Callithrix jacchus: one gene and its partners. The protein of the gene in region 1 interacts with the protein of each later gene in a pairwise test. Links are inferred from orthologs where the notes say so. Each region holds a gene or a part of one and is shown in the gene's direction. Other genes may lie near its edges. The genes, in order: CREB3, RHEB, ACSF2, DNAJC30, FMO3, FA2H and TMEM234.

Region 1 (2,496 bases):
GAAGCTGTAGAAGAGATTTCTGCATTGGAAAGAGATTGATCTCAGTTGCCTTTCAACTCCTTGGTCTAGAGTCCCTCTCATGGTATCCCTTTCCCTGTTTGCTTTCAGATGGAGGAACAAATTCTGAAACGTGTGCGAAGGAAGATTCGAAATAAAAGATCTGCTCAAGAGAGCCGCAGGAAGAAGAAGGTGTATGTTGGGGGTTTAGAGAGCAGGTATGAAAGGGAGAGAGACTCAGTTGTTAGATTTTTGAAGGGAGGATACAGGTCATATACCCATATCTTTATTTCCCCCAGGGTCTTGAAATACACAGCCCAGAATATGGAGCTTCAGAACAAAGTACAGCTTCTGGAGGAACAGAATTTGTAAGATTCCCTCCAAACCACTGCCTTCTTGTGCCCCTCATTTAATGCCTTCTCACTTTTTTTCCCTTGCCTTACACTTGATTTCTAACTGGGCAGCTCTCAAATGCTAGGTCTGGTGCCTGGCCTTCACTAGGTCTCTGATTCCAAGAAGCTCATAGTAGTGGGGAATACATTTACAAGTAACTAAGAATACAGTAGGGGGGAATACATTTATAAGTAACTAAGAATAAGTACCAAGAAAGAGAAAGAGGGTAAGAAAGACCTCATGGACTTTGATAGTAGTTAGGATTCTGGAGTTGGGAATCCATGGGAAAGCATTCTAGGCAGAGAGAATACAACATAGTCCTCTTGGGCTAGAACTCTTAACACAGGTGAGCTGGGCCAGAAAGTAGAGAACACAGAGAATGCCTGGTGAGGATTATATGCATAGCTGATCAGACAATGGGGAACTACTGATGATATTTGCAAAGGAGGTTAAGTCAGGGCAGAGAAGTTTTTTTGTTTTTTGTTGTTTGTTTTGTTTTAACGAGGAACTTCAGGCACTTTGTCCACAGAGAGGAAGAAGTCATTTGCAAAAATAGAATGAAAATAAGAGAGAGGATCCAGTGCAGAGATGGAGGTGTCCTGAATAGGAATTTCATTGTGTCTTAGGGTGCCAGGCCAGAGGATGCTCACCACTGGCCCCCCTTTTCCTCTAGGTCCCTTCTAGATCAACTGAGGAAACTCCAGGCCATGGTGATTGCGATATCAAACAAAACCAGTAGCAGCAGCACCTGTGTCTTGGTGAGGATGGTGATGAGGGGAGAAATCCTTTGCTTAGTTGGTAGGGACAGCAGTGCAGTCCAGAGCCCTTCTTCATCTCCTTTTTCCTGTGCTCTAGGTCCTGCTATTCTCCTTCTGCCTCCTCCTTGTACCTGCTATGTACTCCTCTGACACAAGAGAGAGCCTGCCAGCTGAGCATGGAGGTAAGAGGCTTAAGGATAGCTCTCAGGCATGGGCAAGGGGAGAGCCTGGGTTGGCCTCTGAAGATTGTCTCCTTTGTCTCCTCAGTGTTGTTCCGCCAGCTTCGTGCCCTCCCCAGTGAGGACCCTTACCAGCTGGAGCTGTCTACCCTGCAGTCAGAGGTGCTGAAAGACAGCACACACCAGTGGCTGGACGGCTCAGACCATGTACTCCAGGTCCCTGGCAACTCTTCCTGCCTGCTACACTACATGTCTCAGGCTCTCAGGGCAGAGCGTCCCCTGGAGTGGCTATTCCCTGACCTCTTCTCAGAGCCTCTCTGCCGAGATCCCATCCTCCTTCTGCAGGCAAATCTCACAAGAAAGGGGGTAAGGCTTTCTACCTATAGCCCCTCTGTCATCCTGCAGGACAGATACTCAGGCTAGATACAAGGATATGTGGAGGGGTCTCAGCAAGAGCTTGGTGGGCTCCCCATCTGTGTCTGAATAAAAATGGGTGGGCGAGGGCTGGCTGCAGATTCTGTGCCCTGTCAGAAAGACTGAGGGCTCAAATACACCACATTTACTGGCTTTCTGGGTCTTTTATTATTTGTAGCCATGTGTCTGTCACCCCATGAATGTACCTGGGGAAATCAACTGACCTCGCTGAACATTTCACACAGTGAGGGAAGGGGTGAGGAAATAAATAAATAAGTGATTCCAATGCTGCCTGGGTTACCCCCAACCCCCATTTACTGGCACAGTTGGGTGGGGAGAAGGGAAAGGGTATGATTGTCCTGATGGCTCAGGGCTGCAGGAGGTTCAGAAGGGAAGGAGGAAAGGCCAGGCTGGAGGCTGGGATGTTAGTGCTTCCCTCCCACAGTTCAGAGGGCTCACTCTGGGCTCAGGTTTGCATGGCCTCCTTTGGTCCAAACATAGGCCCTGTCCTTAGTCCTGTGTCCTGTTTGACTTTTGGCCTGGAGGCCTTTTTGTGCTGCTGCTGTTGCAGGGCTAGCTGCATGGCCCAGATGCTCAGTGGCCGCATGTAGGCCAGTGAGCGGAACACTCGCTGCTGGCAGTATGCCTCTGGTGTCTGGAAGGCCAGACCCAGGCGCTCCCACACGGTACGGTAGCAGCCTTCAGCTGTCTGGAAGCCCTCCCAAGTCAGGCCCTGTTGGGAGAGATGACAGTTA
Region 2 (4,754 bases), on another chromosome or scaffold:
AGGAATCTTCTAAACCTTTGGATCTTACTTTAAAGGACTTTAAGACAGCAATTGGAAAACTTCTTGAATGAGTTTGTCCTTTATGACTGTGCTTCACATCTGTATTACCAACATTCTCAGACCAGGGCAGTGCTTTCAAAATTTTTGAGGCAACCCACGACAAGAAACCTTACAATGAATCCCAATACACAAACATATGTAGCAGATCTACATGTATCCACACACGCACATACACATACTTGGCCTTACTCATTTTTTTAACTCACCGCTATACTGATGAGGACATACGCAGTTTTCTCTTCTATTTTTTTTTTTTTAAGGAACACTAAACTGATTTTATAATGCAAGTTTAGTAGCATCTGTTCAAAAATACCGTGGTGAGGGTATCCAGATCCACAGGATAAAAACATGACCATTTTACAGGAGAGTGCATTTTAAGACCCTTAGCTTTAAAATAGTTAAATATAGCATAAACCTCAACATTTCATGAAAACATAGAGCTTCTAGACATTGATCACTTCCGGCTGGCTGCCTGGGGATCATCTGTAGATCCCCAAGAACACGAATGCACACCCCAGCCCGTCCTCCGAGTGCTTCCGTGGGAAAGCTGGAGGGAGTCGCCCTTGGGCTGGGTGTTCCAATTCGACTCCAGTCACTCTAAACCTTCGTACGCTGGAATCCAAGGCCTGTCACTCAGCTTCCCGGGCTTCATTCCTCCCCACCGCTCGCTGGGAAAGGACGAAGGGCCTTGCCCGGCCTCTGCAGGTCCCCACTGCCAAACAGCCCGGGCAGAACAGGAGCGGGTTCCCGGGCGCGGTGGAGCCTCTGTTAACTCGGCAAGCGCCAAACCCACCAGCAGCTACCACCCCTGGCCGGCCAGCCTGCTGATCCCTCAACCGCACCTGCGTCCCCAGCCCGGCTCCCTTCCCACGCCACTCTGCCCCGCACCCCTGGGAAGGCTGTGCCCACGCCGCGGCCAGAGGTGTTCCCGGAACCCGGCTCGGGCCTGCCCGCCGCACCAGCCGCCCCGGCGCTGGCGGAGAACCGGCTTCCCGCCCTGGCGCTGTTCCGGGAGGCGCGTCGAGCTCCGCGCGAAGCGAAGCGGACGCCAGAACCACAGGCTCGCCCTGTTTTTAATGAAATTCCTAACACTTTGAATTAACGCAGACTCCATGCTTCCCACAGTCCTTCGGCCGTGGGTGACGCTTAGTCACCACCTACATCCTCAAACACAGACACGAACGCTAACGCAGCACAAGGGGAATTTTCAAAAAAAGCCCCGAGGGAGGAGCCAGTCTACCCACAGCCCGCCCCGGCCACGCGCCTCGCGCCCTTCACGGGCTCAGCAGGCGCGAACCCCACAACCGCTCAGCGTTCCGCCAATCACCACGCCTCCCACCTATTGCCCCGCCCTGCGCTCCGCCCCGGCCAATCATCAGGAAGCCACCGTTTGTCTCTCCGCCTCTCCCGCTTGCACCCAACCGGTTGAAAGTTTGAAGCCTTCAAACCTCGCAGGCGCCCAAAGCCGCGGTAGCAGCGCGCTGTATTTTTAGCACCCGGGCGAGCAGCCCCACCCTCTCCCGCCCCGCCTTTTCGCCTCCCCAATGGGAGACGGAGTTTCCGCCACGTCATCGCGCGGCTGTGCAAGAGCCGCCCAATCGGCGCTCGGGGAGAATGGCGTAATTAAAAAGCGGCGGAAGAAGATGGGAGGGTCATGACGCAGCGAGTTTCAGTCGTGACTTTTCCGGGGGCATCGCGGCGTCCCCTTTTTTTCCCTTTAAAGTAAAACGTCGCCCCGACGCACCCCCCGCGTATTTCGGGGGGCGGAGGCGGCGGGCCGCGGCGCGCGAAGGGGCGCCGCTGACGCGGGCCGGTCACGTGGGCGTGTTGTGGGGGGAGGGGCGCCGCCGCGCGGTCGGTTCCGGGCGGTTGGGAGCGCGCGAGCGAGCGAGAGGCAGCCGCGCCCGCCGCCGCCCCTGCTCTGTATGCCGCTCTTTCCCGGCGCGGCAGCCGCCGATCGCAGCATCAGGAGCCGCCGCCGCCGCGGTTGATGTGGTTGGGCCGGGGCTGAGGAGGCCGCCAAGATGCCGCAGTCCAAGTCCCGGAAGATCGCGATCCTGGGCTACCGGTCTGTGGGTGAGTGGCCGGTGGCCGCGGGGCTTCCTCGCGCCGCCCGGGCTGGGGCCTCGCCTGGGCGCCGGGTCGCGGCCGGGCCTGCGAAGTTTGGAGCCGGCGCGGCCATGTGGCGGGGCGGGCGGGGGCCGCGCGTTTCGTAACCACCATTTTGAGCGGAGGTGGTGGCGGTCGGGGCGGCGTCCGCGCGGGGCGAGGACCTACGGGAGCCGGGCGCCCTCCGCGGGCAGGGCAGGCAGGTGGCTGCGGGGCGGAGGGCGTGGGAGGCGCGGGGCGGGGGCCGCGGACGAGTGTGGGGCTCGTCTGGGGAAGGGAGGTGGCGCCGGCGAGCCGCGCGGGAGGCTCCCGCGAGGAAGGACTTAAACCTGCCTCCCCGCCTTCGCCGTGGGCGCGCGTGACCGGGGCTGGCGGTCTCCCCCACCCCGCCCCCGATGCAAAGAAAAGAAAGTCCATGGGATTTTAACAAAGGAAGTAGCACCTCGGCTTCCTTCCATCTGTGGTGAAGTTTACCCTTGGAGAGAAAACTGGAGACTTAGAGGACATTTGGGCACCGAACGCAAGTTTCTACCTGAGAAACCTAGGGGAGCCCCCAAAAGAGGCCGCTCTGGAGGCCCTGGAGATGCCACTGGCGGCCGGGGCAGGCAGGCAGAGGAAAAGGAATGTCTGATCTCTCGGTGCCCTGTTTTTCTTCGGGAAGGAATAAGGTCAGGGACTTAGAACCAGGCTGCTGAAGTCATTCTGGAGTCTTTCTGTTTTCTTTTTTTTTCTTCCCCGGAAGGTTGATACACATTTGAAACGGTTCCTAGCAGCCGCGGTCTTGCTGAATACGGTGGCCTAGGGTCGGGTTGCGGGGGCGGACGGGATGCCACAGAACGAGCGGTTTCCTGTCCTATGAGAAAGCAGAGCGATTGAACTTAGCCGGGCTTCAGGGTGAGGCTGTATTGTCTCCGACATCCGGAAGCCTGGAGGAATTACGTTCGTCTTTTGGTGCTGTTTTGAAGTAGCTCTATGGAAGACGTGCACTGGGCCACAGTTGGGGGAATGGGGAGGTGAAAGCGAGGGTTCAGAGGCTCCGGTGATTGCGGAACGGGGTGACAATAACTGCGGTGGAAACCTTGTACCTGCCTGCCGCTCACTGGGTGAACTCCCCTGCTGCGCTTTCCACGGCCGCTGCCAGGCGCTGTGCTCTTTGACCAAGATCGGCCTCTGCTGCTTACTCATCCTTTTACCACCTCTCTCCGTCGGGGGTAGCGGGGTGGGAGCATCAAGAGCTGAAAGAAGCTTGGCTTCTACCTGAGAGATGCGGGATGCCTAGAGTCGTGGGTCGGGGGGGAGCTCTTGTGCGATGCAGTCCTGAATCCAAAGGGATGAATAGGTGTGGCAGCTTTAACCGCTGCAGCCAGAAGTAACCACGAATCTAATGGAGGCGTTCAAAGTCACTAACTGTTCAGATATCAATGTGGAACCTGGAATCCAACCTTGATTGGCAGCCTGATCCATGCTCTTGTCTCTGAACTCTTGATTTCCTCCTCTGCATTTTGCGGAGTTGGGACCTCGAGGTATCCTGGCTCGTGGGTGAGCCCTCCGAGTATTTATTGCCAAGTATTTGAAAATAGTAGACCTTGATAATCACGGTGTAGGCCACAAGTACCTCGGCTACCTGATTTTTTTTTTTTTTGAGACGGAGTTTCGCTCTTGTTACCCAGGCTGGAGTGCAATGGCGCGATCTCGGCTCACCGCAACCTCCGCCTCCTGGGTTCAGGCAATTTTCCTGCCTCAGCCTCCTGAGTAGCTGGTCAAGAGATCGAGACCATCTTAGTCAACATGGAGAAACCCCGTCTCTACTAAAAATACAAAAAATTAGCTGGGCATGGTGGCGGCTACCTGATTTCAATGCAAGAGAATGATCCAAAGATCTTGATTTGCCCTTTTAAAATGTTGAAATGGTAGCTTTAGTCTTGAGTGAGCAGGTCTACTGTTTCATCACTTTTTTTGCTAAAGAAGTTCCTTGTGTCCAGTTGAAATCCATTCTGTTTTATCTTCCCTCTAATTAGCGTCTTACTGAGGGCTGAGATGAGAGGCCACCCCTTAGCCTTCTCTTCACAAACATTTATTTTAAAATGCTGCTTGTGCTAACTACAGTGCTAACTTGGTCTCCGGTGGGATACAGGGGCACTTTTATTCCCTATTTTCTGTCTTTAGTATTTCTTGTTTCTGCAACCTACTCCACTTCTCCATATTTATTTTCATGCGCAGTCATGATTAAACGATTTTGGAAAGGTTAGGTTGCTTCCAATCTTGTGTTTGATTTGATTTTTTTTTTTTTTTTTGAGATGGAGTCCTGCTCTGTCACCCAGGCTGGAGTGCAGTGGCGTGATCTCGGCTCTGCAACCTCTGCATCCCGGGCTCAAGTGATTCTCTGCCTCAGCATCCCACGTAGCTGGCATTACAGGCGTGCACCACTACACCCGGCTAATTTTTGTATTTGTGGTAGAGACGGGGTTTCACCACGTTGGCCAAGCTGGTCTCAAACGCCTGACCTCAGGTGATCTGCCCACCTCGGCCTCCCAAAGTGCTGGGATTACAGGCGTGAGCCGCCTCGATCAGCTGCATTTGATTTT
Region 3 (4,590 bases), on another chromosome or scaffold:
CCAGCAAGCTAGAGGCTGAGCCTGCCAGCCAGGGCTGGGACTCCAGACCTGTGAATTCCCCAGCACTCCCTATTACCTGGTCCGCTATCAGAGACAGTCTAACTAGGAAGGCACGTCCTTGTAGGCCCAGCCTCGTGTGATCTCTTTGTTCCTCTGTCTCTTCCTGCCCCAACCCCACAGAAACTGAAATGTGGGGACCCTCCCTAGGAGCTGGGCTCCAGGGGGGATTTGAGGTCACGCTCAAGATTATAAAGAGGCTCAGAGTGAACTTCTCATGACTGAAATGGAGCCAGAGTTCCCAGACAAGGGCAAAGGTTCTGTCAAGGCAGGATCCACCCCCAGCCACCCCTTCTGCCCTGTAAGGTTTACTTTATCTCCTTCCATCAGGAGAGAGGAGGTCACCCTGCCAGGGCCCTTCCCTTGTTCTTCTCCAGCTCCTTCCCTAGAGGAAAGATCATGGCTACGTGGGGCAATGCAGACCTGGAACACGTATACACTGTGCTGCTCTTTGGTGCCCAGTGCCACCTTTCCTAGCCTGGATCAGAGCTGGACTATCACCTTCTCTGTCCTGCAGCTCTGCCCAGGTCTTAGTACCCCACCTACCCCTGGGCCTCAGGAACCCCAAGGAGGGGCACAGTGTTGCTTTCTATTCACACCGGGGGTAGCACAGGGAACTGTGCCACAGGTCCCAAGACAGGCAGATGGGGGATGAAATACACAGGTCCCAGTCCCTGAGGCCACCTTACAGTGCACCGGCCCCAACCCCGTGCAGAGGGTCAAGGCAGAGGCGCCCAGGGGGGAGGGGAGGATGCCTCGTGTGAGATGGGGTACCAACTGGTGTCCCTTCTGAAGCTGAAATCTGGCCTCCGCTGGAACTCCGGCACCAGCAGGCCCGGTGGCGGCTCACAGTCGACACCCTTTGTCGCAGCTGCCTCCCCACCCCAGCGGGCCCTGTGCTCCAGTTGGCATGCCTCAAGGGCGCTTCGCGCCTGCTCCTTTGGCCTCTGGCTCGCAAGTAGCGGGCCAGCACCTGACCCGAGAGCTAAAGTGGTAGGGGATGGACAGGTCTTTTTTTTTTTTTTTTTTGAGACGGAGTTTCGCTCTTGTTACCCGGGCTGTAGTGCAATGGCGCTATCTCGGCTCACCGCAACCTCCGCCTCCTGGGTTCAGGCAATTCTCCTGCCTCAGCCTCTGGCCCCGCACGGATGTGCGGCTGGCTCTCCCTCTAGGAAATCAACAAACTTTTGCGCCTCTAAAGTCCAGGCCCCTGAGGATGGTTGCGAGGAAGATCTGTCTCAGGCTGCAGCTGGGGCCTTCAGATCCAGAGGAAACCAGGGCCATTCTTCGAGGGTGGGAGGGGGAGGGCCGCGGGGTTCAAGGGGAAGGTGGCCCTGCGCTAAGACTCCACCGCCGCGCCGCGCCACGCTCCACCCTCCCGGACCGAGTTCGCCGCACCCCATAGGCAGAGGCCACCCTCCCCGCCTCCCTGCCTGCTCCGCGCCCGCCCCGCCTCGGCTTACTTTAAAAAGTTAACTCGCGGGACGCAGGGCGAAGTGAGCAGTGGCTGTTTACGTCGGGATGCTGAGCCTGGGGAGACTGTGCGCCGGGAGCCCCGGGGTGTTGGGAGCCCGGGCTGCCCTCTTTCGGAGTTGGCAGGAAGCGAGGTTGCAGGGTGTCCGCTCCCTCAGGTACGGGGCCCCCGGGAAGAGAGGGGGCGGGGCGGTTCTCTGGGAGAGGAATTTGGGGGTCCCGCCGAGCTTAGGAAGCCCCATCTCTGGACCTCTGCAATGGGGGGTAGGTACCCACCCCTCCCTCGCCCCCCACCAGCACCTAGGCAATAGGAAAAGCTGGCTTGGCCTAGTGGACTGGGGCTTCAGTTGGTGGCTGCAGGGACTTGGAGTTCTGGTCCAAGACTCTCGATTCTCTCCTTTATGGGCACAGAGGGCAAGGAGTGTGGGCTTTCAGGAGACTATTCCGATGGGGAGGAGCAAGGGCCAAGGCCTGGGCTGTACCCTCAGGACACTGCCTCCGAGTTCTGGGCAAACTTCTCCCTTCATGGGCAAACTTGGGGATCAGCCCCAGTCTCCCCGACCCAGGCCGCTAAACTTAGCAGTCTCCTCTCTCCTTATCAGCTGCGGACTAACATAGCTTTCATTCTTTGCTACCTATTCCTGGGCCTATTTTCGTCTGTCCTCAGTGCGAGGGGTGGGATGGAAGCTGCAGATACAGGATGTGAGTTCCCAGCAGCTTCGCTGCCTCTTCAGCAGCACAGTAAGTAAAGCTGCCTTCCCGGTGTGGCCAGTCCCTGGGAGGACCCCGTGAAATTGCAAATGTGAAAGTGCATGAGTAACAGAGAGCAGGCCGCCACCCACCTATGCTATCAGCGCTGTTAGCGTCAGCACCACCATCGGGGAGCCGTGTGCACTGCTGAGCCTGTCCTACCGCCCAGCTTGGCCAGATACTAAGTCTGTGGTCAGGACACCACTGTCAACATCAGATGGGGTGTGGACCCGGACATGGAAAAGGGAGAGGAAGCCGGAACAAATCTGGGTCTCAGAGAACTAGATTTGGTTTTGTTTGGGAAAAGGCTAAGTGGGAGGAGTTGGAGGGACACACAGAGTCTTCTTGGACTGGAACCCAAGATCACACGTTTTGAACTTGCTGGTTCCTGAATGCTGGAAAGCATGCAATCACTCTGCCTAATTTGCCAGGAAACTAAGTGGAGGAAGGCTGCTCAGTAGATGGGATTGAGAGGAAGACAATGTGGTCCTCTTCCCAGTGACCCTGGGAAGTCACTCACCACTTCCTAGGGTCTCCCTAGGCAAGTTCAGCCCTCCCCTGACCCCCAAGTCGCTAATCCTCTCCCCTGGACTCGTGGGTGCCTGCTCTCAGGCTGGGAGGACTCTAAGGAAAGTTACTCCCCAAAGTGTACATATTTTATCCTACCAAATCAGGCCACAGGGGAGGCTGTCAGCCTACTCTAGCTCAGGAGTCTGCCCAATACAGAACAAACAAATAAATAAATACTAAGTCCTGCCACCTGGCAACATTTCCGACCTTTGACTTTTTTGTCTATAAACAAAATAGGTCACTTACCTGATGCAGGCCTTTGACCTCTGAGAGCACCAAGCTTCAAAGAAATTCTTATTGCTGTGTCAAGAGAAGACCCATTTAACCAGAGAGATGATTTTCTGAGTGTTTGGCCTAACTGCTTGCCATTTCTCCCACTCCCTTGTGCTTGTGCCCTTTTTGGCTGTGGTGGTTTTACCTGATTTCTCTCCTACTTTCCCCTTCAGAAGCCTCGGGGCTCAGGCCAGACATACTGGTTCAAGCCTGTAATCTCAGCACTTTGGAAGGAAGAGGCAGTGGGATCACCTGAGCCCAGGAGTTCAAGGCTGCATTGGGCCATGATCATGCCACTGCACTCTAGCCTAGGTGGCAGAGCAAAACCTAGATTCAAAAAATAAGAATAAAGGCTGAGTGGGTGGTTAATGCCTGTAATCCCAGCGCTTTGGGAGGCCCAGTTGGGTAAATCACTTGAAGTCAGGAGACCAGTTTGGTCAACATGGTGAAACCTCATCTCTACTAAAAATACAAAAATCAGCGAGGCATGATGGCATGTGCCTGTAATCCCAGCTACTAGAGTCGCTGTGGCAGGAGAATTGCTCAAACCTGGGAGGTGGAGGTTGCAGTGAGCTAGGACAGCACCACTGCACTCCAGCCTGGGTGACAGAGAGAAACTCCATCTCAAATATAAATAAATAAGAAGAAGAAATAAAGGCTGAGTGTGGTGACTCATGCCTGGAATCCTAGCACTTTGGGAGGCTGAGGCAGGTGAATCACTTGAGGTCAGGAGTTCAAGACCAGCCTGGCCAACATGGTGAAATCCCATCTCTACTAAAAATACAAAATTAGCTGGGCATGGTGGCACATGCCTGTAATCCCAGCTACTTTGGAGGCTGAGACAGGATAATTGCTTGAACCTGGGTGGCAGAAGTTGCAGTAAAAGGTTATATTGAGTATATATATATCTTTATGAGTATATGTGAATAACTAAATTATTATATATGATTATTATAGTAATAACTGTGTGCTTATATTTCTAATTATTTTCTAATTCAGTATTCATATGGGAACAGGCTGAGGCTTCAGATCCTTGCCTCAGCACTCGCGGGGTTTCCCTCCGACACCCTCCATGGCAATGGCTATGATCATATGAGACTGTAGACCTAAGGGAAAAAACCGAGGCAAAAGTTATTTAAGTAGAGAGTTCATTTGGGACAACTTTGAGGACTGCAACCCAGGAACATTGACTCGAGTTGCCCTGAATGTACGCTCTGATGAGCAGCAGTTACAAATGGGTTTTTAAAAGAAAATAAGAGGTGGTTCCTAAGTGACTTACCAAGAATGTACATTAAAATGACATAAGCTATTGATTCGCTGTACCTTGTTGTTTATATCACAAATTTTGTTAACATGAAGGTAAGGTAATCGGTGAAGCAGCTAGTCAGGAGCAAAATGCCTTTAAACAATTGCGCCTGGGAAGGGAGGGAAGTCCCACACTCGTGTCTCTCTGGGCTTGATAAATTT
Region 4 (4,526 bases), on another chromosome or scaffold:
TTTTTCAGCCCTGAGGTTGAACCACGTTGGGCAACACAGGGAGACTCTGTCACTACAAAAATTAAAAATAATTGGGTGGATCATGAGGTCAGAAGATTCAGATCATCCTGGCTAACACGGCGAAACCCTGTCCCTACTAAAAATACAAAAAATTAGCCAGGTGTGGCGGCATGAACCTTTAGTTCCGGCTACTAGGGAGGCTGAGGCAGGAGAATCACTTGAACCTGGGAGACGGAGGTTTGCAGCGAGCTGATATCTTGCCACTGCACTCGAAGTGGCGAAGAATGAGAGACCCCGTTTTAATTTAAAAAATAAAATAGGCCGGGTGCTGCGGCTCACGCCTACAATCCCAGTACTTTGGGAGGCCGCGGCGGGCGGATTCACCTGAGGTCAGGAGTTTGAGACCAGCCTGACCAACATGGAGAAATCCTGTCTCTACTAAAAATACAAAAATAGCCGGGCATGATGGCGTGTGCCTGTTATCTCAGCTACTCAGGAGGCTGAAGCAGGAGAATCGCTTGAACCTGGGGGGTGGAGGTCGCGGTGAGCCGAGATCTTGCCATTGCACTCCAGCCTGGGTAACAAGAGCCAAACTCCATCTCAAAAAATCATAGGAAGCAGCCACGAGTGGCGGCGGGCGCCTGTGGTCCCAGCTACTGGGGAGGCTGGGGGGGGGCCACCGACACCCGACTAATTTGTTTTTTGCGGAGATGGGGTGGGGGGGGGGTCTTGCTGCGTTGCCCAGCCTGGTCTCAAACCCCAGCGGAAGCAATCCTCCCGGGAGGCCTCACCCTCCCAAAGCCCTGGGACTGCTGGGATTACAGGCGTGGGCCATCCCACCTGACCTCAAGTCTGTAGTTGCACAAACCACCCTCTAGGAAATTCAGACAGTACCACACCGACGGCCGTCGTGGAGACTTACTGGCAAACAAGGCGCCGGGATAAGCACCCTACGGACATTACTTCCTTCCCCCCCACTAGGACTGACCCCTCGCCAGGACCCACCGCCCACATGCTTAGGACAAGCTGTTACACACTCGACTTTGAAAACCACCCACGGAAAGCAGGCGCGATCCCCTCTACCTCAACACTGAGGCACCGAGGCCCAGAGACGTCGGTAATTTAAAGGTGATTTACCAAAGACCGAAATGGCACCCACCCGGGTCCTTCCTTCCCCGCACCCCCAAATTCTACGGGCTTTCCGAGCAACGCCCGCAACCCGGGCAACTTGCCGCTTCCCGACCCCCGGACGCCGCGCAGTACTCCGGGGCTCCCCTCACTTGGAAACGTATTTCCGGGCTTCTTTCTTGTCATAAAACTGGGAAAAAGAGAAAAAGAAATGGCAGGTGGAGAAGGAATTCAGACGCCGCGGCCGTAGAAATGGGGAGACGGGTGCCCGCTGACCCCAGAACTTACCAGCTCCGGGGGGCCGCCGTGCTCCGGACGCTGGCCACCAGACGCCATCCTCACTCCTCAGCGGCACGCCTGCAACTGGCGTTTCCCGGAGCGAGCGCGGCTTTTATGTCATCAGCCGGCGCCCGCCTAATAATACGCATGCGCCACCCCCTCTTTCGCCCTCCTCTTTACCTGATTGGCTACAGGGCGACCAACCGGCGCCTCCCATTGGCCAGTTTCTCTTGCCCCGCCTGCCGAATCAATTCAAGATGGCAGCCAAGTGTGGGTTGTTGTTTCCACGACTGTTAACGTGGAGGTTGCTACAGGCCCGTGGCTTTCCACAACGTTCTGCACCCGGCCCGGGCCTAGGAGCGAGGCTTTATTCCCGGGGCGACTCTTCGTACTCGCGCACAGCGCTATATGATCTCCTTGGCGTCCCCTCCACAGCCACGCAGGCCCAAATCAAGGCGGCTTACTACCGTCAGTGCTTTCTCTACCACCCGGACCGCAACTCCGGCAACGCCAAGGCTGCCGAGCGCTTCACCCGCATCTCCGAGGCCTACGTGGTTCTGGGCAGTGCCACCCTCCGTCGCAAGTATGATCGCGGCCTGCTCAGCGACGAGGACCTGCGCGGACCCGGCGTCCGGCCCTCCAGGACGCCCGCAGCCGACTCCGGCTCGCCGCGTCCCCCGCCGCCCACCTCTCGGACCCACAGCGGTTCTTGGACCGCCCCCGACGCCAACCGCACGAAGTTCAACTTTGACGCCTTCTACCAGGCCCACTACGGGGAACAGCTGGAGCGGGAACGGCGCCTGAGGGCCCGGCGGGAGGCTCTTCGCAAGCGACGGGAATCTCTGGCCCTGACCAGCCGTCCCTGGGAGGACATCCGAGACACGGGTGTCGTTTTCTTCCTCTTCGGAATCTTCATCACCATTGTCATCGTTGGCTTTTATATTTAGCGGGAGAGAGGAAGGAAGGGGAGCGTCCCCAGCCAGCCCCCAGAAAACGGCCTTTTTTCCTGCCCCAGAATTCTTGGCCATTGATAGCCTACCTCAGCTGGGATCCGAAGGAACTGTGCTCCCCCTCCCCTCCCGGACCCACCCAACATAGCCGATGACCTGCACATCCCTTCCCTATGGTCCAGAAAAGGAGGCCTCATATGCCTGAGAAAGAGGCCCCACGCTAAAGAGTCCCGAGAGCTCACGAGTGAGGGGTCCCTGGAGTCTCCAGGGTGCTTCTTCCAGAAGTTGCCTTCCTGCTTCCAGATGTGGCTAACTTCTGTAACACTCGCTGTAGCTTGATTGTAAAGCCTCGGGCAGGATTTATCTGCTCCTGCCCCGCGTGTGTACGGTGGGGCTCCTCTGTAACCTTGAAATGTGCAATGTGACCATTTGTTGGCTGCCAAAAGAAAAGGTCTGGGGTTGTACCAAACTTGTCTTTCTGTGAGTTCCCCAAGCGGCAGGTGAGACCTGGTCCAGGGTAAGAATGGGGTCTGTGGACAGCCTGCCATTCCTCCCTCTAAAGTCAGCCCCCTGGGGCACTCCCCTTTCTGTTGATAGCATGTGGGAGTGAGGAAACAAGGTCACTGAGCATAAGGAATGTGTGTTCCTGGGCCCATATTAATGTGTGACCTTGGAGAAGTTACTCTGTGAGCCTGACAGCAGAGGAGAGAATCATTTGACATTGTTTTGTTTGTTTTTGTTTTTCAGAAGGGGTCTCGCTCTGTTGCCCCGGATGGAGTGCGGTGGTGCAATCTCGGCTCACTGCAACCTCTGCCTCCTGGGTTCAAGCTATTCTCCTGCCTCAGCCTCCTGAGTAGCTGGGATTACAGGTGCCTGCCAACATATCGAGCTAGTTTTTGGATTTTTAGTAGAGAGGGGATTTCACCATGTTGGCTAGGATGGTCTTCAACTCCTGACCTCAGGCAATCTGCCCGCTTCAGCTTCCCAAAGTGCTGGGATTTCGGGTGTGAGCCACCTTGCCTAGCCTATTATCCATTGTTCTAATCTGTGGGGATTATAGCATGATGCTAGCAGGGCCGCCTTCATCCTTGGGACAGTGTGGCTGTCCCCTGGCCCTCCTTTTACCAGCCAACCCCATTGCACACTGTGCAGCCCAGCCCCTCCCAGAAATGGAATGCCAGACTCCGTGCTTGAGTCTCCTGCTGCTGTTTAACTTGCAGTGCTTATCACAGGCCCTGCGTGAACCTTTGAAACAAGGCTGCTTGATGCTGGGGTAAACTTTGGGACTTTGGGAGTAGACAGGACTACGGAGGGATGGGGGCCTTGCTGTTCAAGGTGGCGACTTGGTTCTTTATGCAGAGCTGACTAAAGGCGTGGTTTCTTTCCCCTCTGTTTCATGTTAACTAGTTGCTCATCGTTTGGTCAGAGCTGCTGCTGAGCGCTCTGAACTGTGAGTCACTGGACATTGGCAGTGAGCTGGCGGTGAGATTGTAGGTGCTCGAGTGTTTACGCACAGGACTGAGTGTAAATCTGTAAAAAGGGAAAATCCTCGCAAGAGGTCTACGAGATGGATGAGGGCCCAAGTCTAGGGTCTAAACAAAGCCAGGAGTGGTTTGATGTACTACTGAGGGCCATAATTGCGTGCAATCCCTGTACTCAATGTGTTGTGTAAAATCCTTATGTAAAATGGGATAAACCCACAGCTGGTCCTGCTTAGCCTCTTGAAAACCATTCCATTATTCTATCCTGAAAAGAAAAAAAAAAAAAAAAAAATATATATATATATATATATATTTGATTGTCTCTTGCCTTGGAGAGTGGGGGTATACTCCTAGTCAGGGCTTTGCAGTGACCATATGATTCAGTAATGAAGATCTGGGGCCTGGCACAGTGGCTCACGCCTGTCATCTAAACACTGGGAGGCTGAGGCAGATGAATCGCTTGACCTCAGAAGTAGGGAGACCAGCCTGGGCAACACGGCAAAACCCCACCTCTACAAAAATTAGCCAGGTGCGGTGGCAAATGCTAGGTGTGGTAGTTAGTCCCAGCTACTCGGGAGGCTAAGGTGGGAAGATGGCTTGAGCCTGGGAGGCTGAGGTTGCAGTGAGGTGCCATCCCGCTGCTGCATTCCAGCCTGGGCAACAAAAAAAAAGAAAACAAAGAGATTTG
Region 5 (4,443 bases), on another chromosome or scaffold:
TGTCTTGCCTCCAGTAAGTCAATTAGAAGAAAACAAAAATTTCTTTAAAATACAAAGAAAATCTAGAGCAAGACGACAAAATGTGAAGTCTTCCACTCATATCCTCCAACAGCAACAATAATCTAGCCATCGAGGGATGAAAGCATCTTTGTTTTGTGATTCAGAGGGGACAATAGAGAATGTCCACTCCCCCAACCAGAGCTTGGGCATTTGAGACTCTGAAGATTTACAAAGGGGCTCTGCAGAAAGCTCTGGCAATCAAAGGATAGGCTGAAAGGAGACAGGGCTAATGAATGTGTCTACTACAGATAAAATATATTCCAGCGAAGAACAGGCAGCCTTTTCACCTCCTAGAGAGATGAAACATCAGAGGCCAAGGAGGAATTGGGTGTGTCCCGCCTGTCCTTAAATTAATAAGGCTATAGGAATAGTATTGCTTCATAAAGTATTCACAATCTTTTCTTTGCATTATTTTAATGCTATTTGTGTAGCGTTAAAAACTGTAAAGGAGTTCCATGTAAAATGAGAGCAGAGAAAATCATGTCATCTGAATTGTAGCCCTAGAAAATTTCATGAATCTATGACTTGTTTTTAATTTTTTCTACAAGTTATATTTGCTCATTTTTAACTACATGCCACATTTTATATGTACATATGTATAAATGTATTTATATGTATATATCCTTTAATTTTCTAATCCTTGTTAAAAAAAAATATAGCCAGACAGAGGCTAATAGTGTAGTTATCCCCATTTTTATTAATGAGTAAACCAAGAATTGGAAAGGTTAAGTGACTTGCCCAAAGCCACAGAGCTTTACAAGTGATTTGAAATCTCTCATACACACACTTTAGAGATGAAGATTACTGTCTTCAAAAGGCATAAAGGGTAATTCCTCAAAATCAGACATATACCAGTTTATGCTAAGTATCACCTCCTTAATGAAAGGGTTAACTAGATAAAATGAATGACATGTCATAATTCTAAGTGACATAGAAATATAGTTGATAGGAGAACAATTTTTTGCAATTTCACTATATGTCATGACTGAGAGTTAGGTGCAATCTATTTTGTTTTACTGCCAATATGACTTTTTCCCTGACCACACACTTTCCTCAGAAACATATAAATACAAGCTTGAGAAATACAGGCCTTTGACCCCAAAATTCCAAATGCAGAACTTAAAAAGAGAGAGCAGAGAAAGTCATCCTCCCTACTGGGCTATCTCAATTAAGTAGGTAAGTTTCTACAATATTTGGAGGGCTAATATGAGGTACCCACAAAATAACTAGAAATAAGGACAACAAGGTAAACTTTGAAATAACACATGATGAAATGGAAGAGAGAACCGCTTGGGAGAAATTCCTTGACTCCGAGGGCAAGGGTCCAAGTGTATAAACAGCAGCTTGTGTTTACTATAACCAAAGGAAAAGCAGAAACTGGGTGACCATGGGAGACTGGCCTAGAGTCCCACCCACCACAGAGAGTTGGTGCTCACCCATTTGAGGACCAAGAAATGACTATCTCTTTAAGAGCAGCTCCTCCCATTTTCCAACAATCTTCCTAATGTGTGGGCTCACTAGAGCATTTTCTCTTTCAAACTGCCCAGACAGTTGGACAGGACATAGACATACAGAAGAAAAGAAGACAAAGAACGGGTAGGAAAATAAAAAAGGTGGGAGGCCGATGTGGGTGGATCATCCGAAGTCAGGAGTAGGAGACCAGCTTGGCCAACATGGTGAAACCCAGTCTCTACTAAAAATACAAAAATTAGCCAGGCATGGTAATGTGTGCCTGTAATTCCAGGTACTTGGGAGGCTGAGGCAGGAGAATCACTGGAACCTGGGAGGCAGAGGTTGCAGTGAGCCGAGGTGGCACCATTGCATTCCAGCCTAGACAACAAAAGCAGAACTCCATCTTAAGAAAAGAAAAGGAGAAAAGAAGAGAGAGAAAGGAAGGGAGGAAGGGAGGAAGGGAGGGAGGGAGGGAGGGTGATATAGTAAAGGGCTGAGGATGAGATGGGTAAATGAAGGAGGAAAATGCTGTAGTTTTATATGGAACGTAGCTAGAATAAGAGTGACATAATTCAGGCAGTTTGTTTATCTGGGAATCATGGATCATGATTTTTATCATCCAAGTCTATTTCTTTGCATAGCTATGTGATTTTGTCTACAAAGGAAAAAAAAGTGAGAGAAGTAGTAGTAGAACCTAAAGACAGTGTCAGGAACAGAAAAAGTTAGGAAATGTAATTTTCTTAGAGGAGAAAGGAGGTTGAAGGTAGCGGGAAAAGATTATTTTTAGGTAAGAACTTGACTTTCTTTTTTCACTGGGATAAGATCTTACTCTGTCACCTAGGCTAGAGTGCAGTGGCACAACTATAGCTCACCACAGCCTCAAACTTTTGGGCTCAAGCGATATTCCTGCCTCAACAGGAATATATAGCTCCAGAGTAGCTGGGACTACTACTGGTCGGGAGAACTCCTAAATTCAAGTGATCCTCCCGCCTTAGCCTCCTGAATAGCTGGGACTACAGGCACACTGAAATACAGACATCTTCAGATCTTGTTCCTCATTATCTTTATCAAAATAGAAAGAAGGTACAGAATGTATGTGTGTGTGTACAAATATACATACATATAGATTTGTTTCTTCATTCCCATATACATGCATATGTATATGGGTGGTGGGTGGATGTGTCTACATGTGTTTTAGTTGTGAATCTTCTTTTATTTCTTCTGCTTACTCATTTTTGTAGACAGTAAATTACCAAGTCCAAAAGCAAAAAGGATAAATATGTACGCTGTGCCATCAGTCTCTTAATTTTGGAAAGCTGATGACTAAAAACAAAGTGCTTATTTTTTTCAGAAGAAAACTTTCTCTTTAGAAATTAGAGATAAATGAAAATGTAGTTAGATTACTAAAGGAGTTTGTTTTTTAGAGATAAGTTCTTACTCTGTCACCCTGGCTGGAGTGCAGTGGTAAAATCATGGCTCACTGTAGCTTGGAACTCCTAAACTCAAGTGATCCTCCTGCCTTAGCCTCCTGAGTGGCTGGGACTACAGGCATATGCCACCACACCCAGCTGACTGATTTTTTTTTTTGTAGAGACAGGGTCTTACTCTGTTGTTCAGGTTGGTCTCAAATTCCTGGGCTCAAGTGATCCTCCCGTTTCAGCCTCCCAAAATGCCAGGATTACAGGCGTGAACTATCATACTCAGCTGGTGTTTCTTAAAAAGTAAAGTTTTATTAGGCCTAAGAGTGAAATCAAAATAAATAGATAAATAGGTAATAAATTTTCAGTCATGTTGTTGCTGGAATTTTTCTCTGGGCCTTTGCACAGGTGACCATGGGGAAGAAAGTGGCCATCATTGGAGCTGGCGTGAGTGGCTTGGCCTCCATCAGAAGCTGTCTGGAGGAAGGACTGGAGCCCACCTGCTTTGAGAAGAGCAATGACATTGGGGGCCTGTGGAAATTTTCAGTGAGTAGCATGTTGTTGTAATAAACAGGGGAATAGGTTGGGAAGTATATAAGAACACGCTGTGTGCACACGTTTCCAAACCTGCTGCCATGGCAATTATCATATCTGTTAGAATTGGAATCCACTAAGCACAGTGTTAAGAGCAGGTTGGAAAGTGACCTCCTTGCAAGTCAGAAGTAAATTACATAATGGGCTTTGAAATTCTCTGTTACACCTATGCAACAATTCTGCATGATCGGCACATGTACCCGTGTACCCCAGAACCTAAAGTACAATAAAAAATATATATTAAAAAATAATAATAAAATAAATAAAAACCAACAATTCAAAAGAAAAAAAAAGGAATTCTCTGTTACAGAATTCTCCCTTGGTAGATCATTAGTAAGAGCCACTTGGACATAAAATTCATGGTAAATATTAGTTAGGTTTATAATTAAATTATAATTAAATGATTTACTCATTTAAAACACAATAATTTTTCACATTTTTTTTCAGATTTAGGGGGTACAAGTGCAGTTTTATTACATGGATATAATGTGTAGCAGTGAAGTCTAGGCTTTTTGTTTTCCTACCACCCAAATAATGTACACTGTACCCATTAAGTAATTTCTCATACCTCAACCCCCTCCGACTCTCCCACCATTTCAAGTCTCCAATGTCTATTATTCCCACACTCTATGTCAATGTGTATACATGATATAGCTCCCAATCATAAGGGAGAGAACATGTGGTATTTGACTTTCTGTTTCTGAGTTATTTCACTTAAGATAATGGCCTCCATTTCCATCCATGTTGCTGCAGAAGACATAATTTCATTCTGTATTATAGCTGGGTAGTATTCCATGGTGTGTGCATATATACATATGTGTCTCTGTGTGTGTGTGTGTATATATATGTATGTATGTATATACCATATTTTCTTTATTCAGTCATCCTTGTTGGACAAGGTTGATTTCATTTCTTTGCT
Region 6 (3,970 bases), on another chromosome or scaffold:
CTTGACCTCCCAAAGTGCTGGGATTACAGGCATGAGCCACCACACCCGGCCAGGATACAGATTTTAAGAACTTGACAAGCCAATGGAAAGTGACAAAGTGGAGCCATGAGTCCAGCCTCACTTTTTTTTCTTGTTTTCTTTTTAGCTCTTTGAGACAGGAGGGTCTTGCTCTGTCATCCAGGCTGGAGTGCAGTGGTGCAATCACAGCTCACTGCAGGCTTCAATTACTGGGCTCAAGTGATCCCCCTGCCTCAGCCTCCTGAGTAGCTGGGACTAAAGCCATGGGCCACCACGCCCTGCTAATTTTCTTACTTTTTGATGAGGTGGGAACTCACTGTATTGCCCAGACTGGCCTCCAACTCCTGGGCTCAAGCGATCCTCCCACTTCAGCCTCCCAAAGTGCTGGGATTACAGGTGTAAGCCACCACATTCAGCCTAGCCTAGCTTTTTAGGAATCTTGATGATGAAGAAGCTGAGTCCATGATGGGAAAGTCTTGCCTACCTCAGAAAGATGAGCAGAAGAGCCAGGAGAGGAGAGACTAAAGGAGGCCAGAGGAATCCCTTGGGAGGGAGGGTAGGAGGAGGCTGCTGAGGGTTTGCACTGCCAAGCAGGGGGAGCCTGGCAAGTCATGGACTTTGTCCACATCCTCACTCATGCAGGCAATGCCAGGGCTTCCCTGTAAGGCTGTGGTGAGATGAAAGGAAGTCATCCATGGAAAGCCCTTGGGCGGCACCTGGTGCACAGGAATCGGTCAGGACACATGTGCTGTTGCTGTTTCTCTGATCATCCAGCACCTGTGTGCCGGTGCACACCTCTTCCCTGAGAAGCAAGTTGCCGGGAGTATGTGGAGGGGATAGCTCCCCGCCAACCCCAGGGCCTCTCTTCTCTGTGAAGTAGGAGGCTGGGTGGAAGGAAAGGAGGTGAAGGGGAGCAGAGAAGGTCCAAGCGCAGCGAGGAGGGAGCTGAACCTGAAGATGCTCAGGGATCACCTTTCGGGCTGTGTCTAGGGTCTTGCAAAGGTCAAAGATGCTAGACCCACTGTGTGACTCTCCATGCTCAGCAGCTTGGGGATGGGGTGCAGAGGCAGATTCCCATGATGACCCAGGGGGAGAGTTCATGGGAGCAGGTGTGGGAGATGGAATACGGGTTAAAAGAGAATGGCTAGGCTGGGCGCAGTGGCTCACGCCTGCTATCCCAGCGCTTTGGAAGGCCAGCCTCACTTGAGGTCAGGAGTTCAAGACCAGCCTGGGCATCATGGTGAAACCCCATCTCTACTAAAAATATAAAAATTAGCCAGGCATTGTGGTGGGCACCTGTAGTCCCAGCTACTCAGGAGGCTGAAGCAGGAGAATCATTTGAACCCAGGAGGTGGAGGTTGCAGTGAGTCAAGATTACGTGCCATGCACTCCAGCCTAGGCGACAAAGCAAGATTGTCTAAAAAAAAAAAAAAATGGATGAGGGTGAATATGGAGAAAACAGGAGCAAGAGCTGAAATCTCCACAAGGTCAAAGAATGAATGAAGTGAAGGGAAGAACTGAAAGCGGCAAGGACTGCAGGCTGTCTCCAGAGGGCTGGGCAGTGGGAAGCTTGTGCTTGCAGATGGCGCCCTCTCCAGTCTTCCCTCTCCACCCAGGCCGGTCATCTTCAGAGTTTTCACATATTCCTCCTGAGCTATGATTTCAGGTCTTGTCTGTTGAGATCTCAGTGCTTGTTTTCTCTTGTCCTTCCTGCCCCACAGTCCCTGGTGTTTCACTTTCCATCATTAACACCCTGGAGGCCGGGTGCAGTGGCTCACATCTGTAATTGCAGCACTTTGGGAGGCCAAGGCGAGATAATTGCTTGAGTCCAGGAGTTTGAGACCAGCCTGGGCAACATAGCAAGATCTCATCTCTACAAAAAAAATTAAAAATTAGCTGGGTGTGGTGGCGTGCACCCGTGGTCCCAGCTACTTGAGAGGCTGAGGTGAAAGGATCACTTGAGCCCAGAATGGGGAGGCTACAGTGAGCTGTAATCACACCTCTGCACTCCAGCACTCCAATCTTTCAACTTGGGTGACAGAGAGATATGTTGTCTCAAAATAATAACAATGCCCTGGCTCAGGAATGTCACCTTCTCTTCTCCGATGTCCTTGGGGCAAGGTCACCCTTGCAGGTAAAGGTCCAGCCCCGGTCATAGCCATTCCTCCCACAGCCTCTGTAAGGAGGCCTCCAGTCAGTGGTCCATCACTCCCGTAAATGACCCCCAAGACCTAGTTCAGAGCCCCGCAGCCTCCTTCCCATTTTGACCCCAGGGCCCCAGCAATGTGGCCTCGCCCCATAGCTGTGGGACAGAGGGCAGCAGTTCCCAAGCTGATTGAGGTGGCAAGGCGTGGACGCCTAGAGCTACCTGGCTGCTGTGCCCCAGTCCTCACCTCGCTCTCCCTGCCACCCTGCAGAGCATGCAGTGGCGGTGCCCAAGTCCATGTTCCCTGGGCTCTTCATGCTGGGGATCTTCCTCTGGAGCCTCATCGAGTACTGCATCCACCGCTTCCTGTTCCACATGAAGCCCCCCAGCGACAGCTATTACCTCATCACGCTGCACTTCGTCATGCACGGCCAGCACCACAAGGTGAGCGGGGCAGGGTCCCAGCCTGGACCCAGCAAGTGCAGCCCAAACCGGCTGGTCCGGCAGCCGGAACCAGCTTCAGGTGCTGCGGAGCCTCCTGGGAGTCTGGCTGTGGGTTGGGAGTGACAAAACTTTTGACATGAATCACAGGGGCAACTGGATCAAGCATCCGAACCTGAGCCAGGCGGGCACAGAGTGGATGTGCAGAGTCATGCTGACCCACAGCCCTCTGCACCCCTGTTTATCCATCACCTTTAATCCTCGAAACAACTCATTCATTTGTTCATTCATTCAGCAAATGCCCAGTGAGTTCCTTCCGTGTGTGAGACACTGTTCTAGACATCATTGAATAAAACAACAAAAAGCCTTGCCCTCATGGAGCTTCTCCTGAAAACAGTGCCAGGATTCTCCCTGTTCCACAGAGCAGGAGACTGAGGCCTTGGGGAGCTAAGGAGCTTGCCCCACATCACACCTGGCGCAGTTAGGATGTCCTGCCCCATTCTGGGGATTCCAGAGTCTGCGCTCTCAATCACCCTTTCCCCTGAAGCCCTTCAAGGACTCCACGACAGTCCCAGAAGCTGGCCCTAGAAGATAGGTCTGTCCAGGGGAAGCTGCCTCCACTATGCCCCTCACGGCCTCTCTGACCCTGCACTGTGCTGTTCCCCAGCCGGTCTTCACACTCCATTCTCTGCTGGCTGTAAATCAGAGAAAATGTGGCAGATATGGTGCTTTCAGGATACCGGTTTAGACCCTTATGCTGCTCATGCTGAACGTGGGTTTCACATCAGTTTCCCAGCAGCAACTTAATCTAGTTCATCTCAATGAGCCGATTCAGGGTTTAATCAGCCACCTAGGAAAGTTCTCAGGTTGGTTGGGTGTCGCCCTCCCAGCTCTCCTCAGAGTTGATCTGCATCCTTGGGGGCTTTTCTAGGGGCCAGTATCAGGGTGGGTGCCCAGTCCTGGGCCAACCCGTCCCTCAGGTATGCTCTCAGAGGCAGTGCAGCCCAGGCCTGCTCTGTGTCCTCCAGCCTCACCTGGCCTCTGCTCTCCAGAGCTCGCTGCATCTGCTGCTACATTCCTTCCCCATTTGTGAAGCCTTTTCAGAACCTCTGCCCCGTCAGCTATCTTTCCTATCCACAGGGGACACAAGAACCTTCTGGGGACCTGATTAGGCTGTTCTGGGGCCCCAGGGGCTATCCCAGGCTCCCTCTTCTGGGACATTTCCACCCCAGTCTGTCCAGTCCCCTGCTGCCACACCACGAGGACCCGAGGAGCTTGTGTGGCCTGTAGCCACGTGGGCTCCAATCAGGAACATGTTCTCAGATCTCCAAACCTATCCATCCCAGGATCCTGATCCAGCTGTGA
Region 7 (3,970 bases), on another chromosome or scaffold:
CAAAACTCTTGTCTGAAAAAAAAAAAAAAAAGAATTTGAAAGCCTCTGGGCTCATGCATTCACTGCTGTGGAAAAATGCTGAACTCTTGGCCAGCTGACTACAAGTCAGCCATTCACCAAGTTTTAATCACATTACAATATTAGGATCTTTTTATTTCATCACCCTCTCTGCCTATATCCTTGAATATCCATCCTTTCTAATAACCAGAATAATAGTCACTATTTATGAAGCATCCACTTTAGCCAGGGACTATCCATGCATTATCACAGTTCATCTTACAACAACCCAACAAAAGAAATGGTATACTGCGATCACTATTTTACATGTGGGGAAACAAGGTAAGTGTTTGAATATCCTAACCAAGATTACAAGGGAAACTCAGATCTGCCTCACTCTGATGCCCTCACTCTCCCATTGCACCATGCTGCTTCCTTCCCTCATCTACTGCTGCAAACCAGACCTTAACAGCCATGACACTCCTTGTAAGGTATGTAAACTTAAGAAGGCAGCTCTGGGCAAGGCACAGTGGCTCAGGCCTGTAATTCCAGCACTTTGGGAGGCTCAGGTGGGCAGATAACCTGAGCCTAGGAGCCCAGCCTAAGTAACAACAACAAAAATACAAAAATTACCCGAGCTTGGTCGTCTGTGCCTGTAGTCCCAGCTGCTCAGGAGGCTGAGGTGGGAGGATCACTTGAGCTCAGGAGGTTGAGGCTGCAGTGAACAGTGACCTCACCACTGCACTTCCAGCCTGAATAACAGAGTGAGACCCTGTCTCAAAAACAACAAAAATGAAAAACAACAACAACAAAAACAACTCTTTGTAGGTGGGGTTGTTATATCAATTTCTTAGATGGGTAATGCCTCTATGCCGGGGTCTCCCAGGGGATGAGGAGCAGGACAGTTCCCTTCTCTGCCTCACAAAGGCAAGGCCTGGGAGTGCTGGGAAAGAGGGTGCTGAGGAGCCAGTGTGAGCATCTGGTCTGCAGTTGAGTCTTGTTACCATGGATAACTCAGCTGATTTGTCTGTTGGTCTTTTTTTATATGTATGTGGCTCTTTTTTTAATGTGATAAGGACACTTAACAGGAGATCTACCCTCAACAAATTTTAAGTTAACTCCATTAGTCTTTTTCTTTTCTCCCCTCTTTTTTTTTTTTTTTTGATGGAGTCTGGCCCTGTCGCCTAGGCTGCAGTGCAGTGGCTTGATGTCGACTCACTGCAACCTCCTTCTCCTGAATCCAAGCACTTCTCATGCCTTAGCCTCCCAAGTAGCTGGGATTATGTGCCAGCAAGTCTGGCTAATGTTTGTATTTTTTTTCTTTTTTTTTTTTTTTTTTTTGGTGCCTGCTTTGTTCCTTCATAGTTTTTTGTATTTTTAGTAGAGATGGGGTTTTAGCATGTTGGCCAGGCTGGTCTGGAATTCCTGACCTCAAGCAGTCCTCCCACCTCCACCTCCCAAAGTGCTGAGATTAACAGGCATGAGCCACCACACCCAGCCAACTCCATTACTCTTTTTCAAGTTTGCTTATTGGCAGTCAGCCCCCTGGAACTTCAAAATTAAAGAACAGATCCTGAGCTATGATACCCTCTATCCACACCATAGGTCCAGCCCAATGTCCTGAACAGGTACCAGGCTTCTTTCTTCTGACACTTTCTTTTATTTTTAACTCCATAAAGCCTGAGCTTGGGCTGAAACAAACAAAATGTGCTTCAGCTGATGTTCTGCTTTGTCCATATCCATTTAATTCAATAAGAGTGCAGACCTTGGAGTCAGACAAACCTCAGTTTAAATCCTCAACTTGCCTTAGTTTCCTTTATGCAAAATGGTGATAATCCCTTCCTTGCAGTGTTATGAAAATTGAAATATGTACAAAGAGCACCTAGGCCATGGTATATGCTTAATAAATGGTGGCTACATGGCCAGGTGTTGGGGCTCACACCTGTAATCCCAGCATTTTGGGAGGCTGAGGTGGGCGGATCGCCTCAGGTCAGGAGTTTGAGACTAGCCTGTCCAACATGGCGAAACCCTATCTCTACTAAAAATGGAAAAATTAGCACGACATGGTGGCAGGCACCTGTATCCCAGTTACTCAGGAGTCTGAGGCATGAGAATCCCTTGAATCCAGGAGACAGAGGCTGTAGTGAGCCAAGATCACACCACTGCAGTCCAGCCTGGGTGACAGAGCAAGACTCTGTCTCAAAGAAAAGAAAAAAATAGATGGTGACTGTGCTTGGTGTTACTTGACTCTCTACTGCATCCTTTGGGATTTGGGTGCCTGCCTACGTGTCCAGATGTCCTTGAAATTTCACAAGTTCTTTTTGAGTGCAAAGACCTCATTCTCATTATCAAACCAGGCTGGTATCAGACCTCAGAGTTCAGGAATCCTGGGGAATGCTGGAATCCTGGGGAACCACTGAACATGGAGTCAGAATATTTGGGTCTGAATCCTGAAATGTGCTGTGACTTCATCTGGAAGATGGGGTTATAATACCTTCTTTAAATATATGAAATGATGATGATGGGAAGTGTCTTGTGTTTAGAAAGGCATTTCTTGGCTGGGCACGGTGGCTCACGCCTATAATCCCAGCACTTTGGGAGGCCGAGGCGGGTGGATCACAAGGTCAAGAGATCGAGACTATCCTGGTCAACAAGGTGAAACCCCATCTCTACTAAAAATACAAAAATTAGCTGGGCATGGTGGTGCACGCCTGTAGTCCCAGCTACTCCAGAGGCTGAGGCAGGAGAATTGCTTGAACCCAGGAGACCGAGGTTGCAGTGAGCCGAGATGGCGCCATTGCACTCCAGCCTGGGTAACAACAGCAAAACTCCATCTCAAAAAAAAAAGCATTTGTTGCATCTCAGGGATTCTTTTCATTCTGACCACCCAGATCTGACCCTAGCTGTACCCATCTGTAATTCTCTGGCCATCATCTTCACACTGATTGTTGGGAAGGCCCTTGGAGAAGATATTGGTGGAAAACGTAAGTCAGGCTACTGCGAATGTGGGATGCAGCTATCTGGGCCTCAACATACCTGTGTTCCTTCCCAGAACCCATCTCCCTGGAATGGGTGAGGACAGGGCCTCTTCCCATCCTGCCTTTTCCTCTGCAGCTGTCCTGCTTCCTTGTGGCCATCAGAGTTCCCTTCCCCTGGACAGTCTGGGGACAGAGGCTGGGGTGGGACCCAGGACCAGACCCCATCTGAGCCCTTCTTACAGCCCTGTACCAGCTCTTATTGGCATGGCTGAGCTCAGAACCCCTTGATTTCTGTCCATTATCCCAGGAGCAGTCGCTGGCATGGTGCTCACCGTGACAGGAATTTCACTCTGCATCACAAGCTCAGTGAGTAAGACCCAGGGGCAACCGTCTACCCTTTGAGTGGGCCGAACCCATTTCCAGCTCTGCTGCCTCCTGGAAGCCCCTGGGCCATGAAGTGCTGGCAGTGAGCAGATGGACCTAGCACCTCCCATCTCTGGCCTCAGCTTCCTCCTCTTATGGGGATAACAGTTACCTCATGGATCACAATAAGAGAACAAGAGTGAAAGGGTTTTATAACCTTCAAGTGCTGTTCACCTACTGGGATTTAGCACAGGAGACTCGACGCTTCACCCTCAGCAACCTTTCTGCCCCAGCATCTCTCTTCCTGCTGTCATCTCAGGCCCCCAGTTAAGCCACCATTATGTGGCCTAATCTGGACTATCATGGTGGCAGTTTCCATGGACTGCAGAACCCCAGCTGCATGGAAAAGGCCAGCTACAGACCAAGCCAGAAAGCAAACAGGAGGCCTCCAGGGCTCAGTCAGAGCGCCTTGGCTGACTGAGGGGTGGAACTGAGGGGAGGAAGGTGCCTCAGAGTGGCAGATGCAGGAGATGAGCTATTAGCCTTGCCTGCCCCACCCATGAGGTGGACAGAAATCCTCACTGCCAGCCTCTCTTAAACAGGTAGCAGCTGTGAGCCCCAGCGCCACCTAA

The links.
Region 2: the proteins of CREB3 (region 1) and RHEB interact in a two-hybrid assay, tested with the Homo sapiens proteins (2 studies listed by BioGRID and IntAct). The two-hybrid records come from large-scale screens. The link is inferred for Callithrix jacchus from reciprocal best matches to the Homo sapiens genes CREB3 and RHEB.
Region 3: the proteins of CREB3 (region 1) and ACSF2 interact in a two-hybrid assay, tested with the Homo sapiens proteins (2 studies listed by BioGRID and IntAct). The two-hybrid records come from large-scale screens. The link is inferred for Callithrix jacchus from reciprocal best matches to the Homo sapiens genes CREB3 and ACSF2.
Region 4: the proteins of CREB3 (region 1) and DNAJC30 interact in a two-hybrid assay, tested with the Homo sapiens proteins (2 studies listed by BioGRID and IntAct). The two-hybrid records come from large-scale screens. The link is inferred for Callithrix jacchus from reciprocal best matches to the Homo sapiens genes CREB3 and DNAJC30.
Region 5: the proteins of CREB3 (region 1) and FMO3 interact in binary tests that used the Homo sapiens proteins (3 or more experiments, as listed by UniProt). The two-hybrid records come from large-scale screens. The link is inferred for Callithrix jacchus from reciprocal best matches to the Homo sapiens genes CREB3 and FMO3.
Region 6: the proteins of CREB3 (region 1) and FA2H interact in a two-hybrid assay, tested with the Homo sapiens proteins (2 studies listed by BioGRID and IntAct). The two-hybrid records come from large-scale screens. The link is inferred for Callithrix jacchus from reciprocal best matches to the Homo sapiens genes CREB3 and FA2H.
Region 7: the proteins of CREB3 (region 1) and TMEM234 interact in a two-hybrid assay, tested with the Homo sapiens proteins (2 studies listed by BioGRID and IntAct). The two-hybrid records come from large-scale screens. The link is inferred for Callithrix jacchus from reciprocal best matches to the Homo sapiens genes CREB3 and TMEM234.

The regions. Positions count from the first base shown.
Region 1 is NC_133502.1:142,640,639-142,643,134, forward strand, and holds the end of CREB3 (cyclic AMP-responsive element-binding protein 3), read left to right. Parts: intron 1-108; coding exon 109-215; intron 216-296; coding exon 297-365; intron 366-1,063; coding exon 1,064-1,148; intron 1,149-1,245; coding exon 1,246-1,330; intron 1,331-1,415; coding exon 1,416-1,750; 3' UTR 1,751-1,894; downstream 1,895-2,496. Other genes in the region: GBA2 (non-lysosomal glucosylceramidase), read right to left, coding at 2,208-2,474. UniProt on the Homo sapiens protein: Endoplasmic reticulum (ER)-bound sequence-specific transcription factor that directly binds DNA and activates transcription. Plays a role in the unfolded protein response (UPR), promoting cell survival versus ER stress-induced apoptotic cell death.
Region 2 is NC_133512.1:96,706,571-96,711,324, forward strand, and holds the start of RHEB (GTP-binding protein Rheb), read left to right. Parts: upstream 1-1,731; 5' UTR 1,732-2,084; coding exon 2,085-2,136; intron 2,137-4,754. UniProt on the Homo sapiens protein: Small GTPase that acts as an allosteric activator of the canonical mTORC1 complex, an evolutionarily conserved central nutrient sensor that stimulates anabolic reactions and macromolecule biosynthesis to promote cellular biomass generation and growth.
Region 3 is NC_133506.1:115,912,184-115,916,773, reverse strand, and holds the start of ACSF2 (medium-chain acyl-CoA ligase ACSF2, mitochondrial), read left to right. Parts: upstream 1-1,550; 5' UTR 1,551-1,578; coding exon 1,579-1,688; intron 1,689-2,197; exon of another isoform or gene 2,198-2,271; intron 2,272-4,590. UniProt on the Homo sapiens protein: Acyl-CoA synthases catalyze the initial reaction in fatty acid metabolism, by forming a thioester with CoA. Has some preference toward medium-chain substrates. Plays a role in adipocyte differentiation.
Region 4 is NC_133503.1:10,005,282-10,009,807, forward strand, and holds DNAJC30 (dnaJ homolog subfamily C member 30, mitochondrial), read left to right. Parts: upstream 1-1,656; 5' UTR 1,657-1,664; coding exon 1,665-2,354; 3' UTR 2,355-4,073; downstream 4,074-4,526. Other genes in the region: BUD23 (18S rRNA (guanine-N(7))-methyltransferase), read right to left, coding at 1,281-1,318, 1,417-1,464. UniProt on the Homo sapiens protein: Mitochondrial protein enriched in neurons that acts as a regulator of mitochondrial respiration. Associates with the ATP synthase complex and facilitates ATP synthesis.
Region 5 is NC_133519.1:31,532,444-31,536,886, reverse strand, and holds the start of FMO3 (flavin-containing monooxygenase 3), read left to right. Parts: upstream 1-1,589; 5' UTR 1,590-1,656; intron 1,657-3,338; 5' UTR 3,339-3,344; coding exon 3,345-3,476; intron 3,477-4,443. UniProt on the Homo sapiens protein: Essential hepatic enzyme that catalyzes the oxygenation of a wide variety of nitrogen- and sulfur-containing compounds including drugs as well as dietary compounds.
Region 6 is NC_133521.1:32,053,990-32,057,959, reverse strand, and holds part of FA2H (fatty acid 2-hydroxylase), read left to right. Parts: intron 1-2,435; coding exon 2,436-2,608; intron 2,609-3,970. UniProt on the Homo sapiens protein: Catalyzes the hydroxylation of free fatty acids at the C-2 position to produce 2-hydroxy fatty acids, which are building blocks of sphingolipids and glycosphingolipids common in neural tissue and epidermis.
Region 7 is NC_133508.1:68,824,281-68,828,250, reverse strand, and holds part of TMEM234 (transmembrane protein 234), read left to right. Parts: intron 1-2,888; coding exon 2,889-2,981; intron 2,982-3,282; coding exon 3,283-3,341; coding exon of another isoform or gene 3,342-3,377; exon of another isoform or gene 3,378-3,940; coding exon of another isoform or gene 3,941-3,970.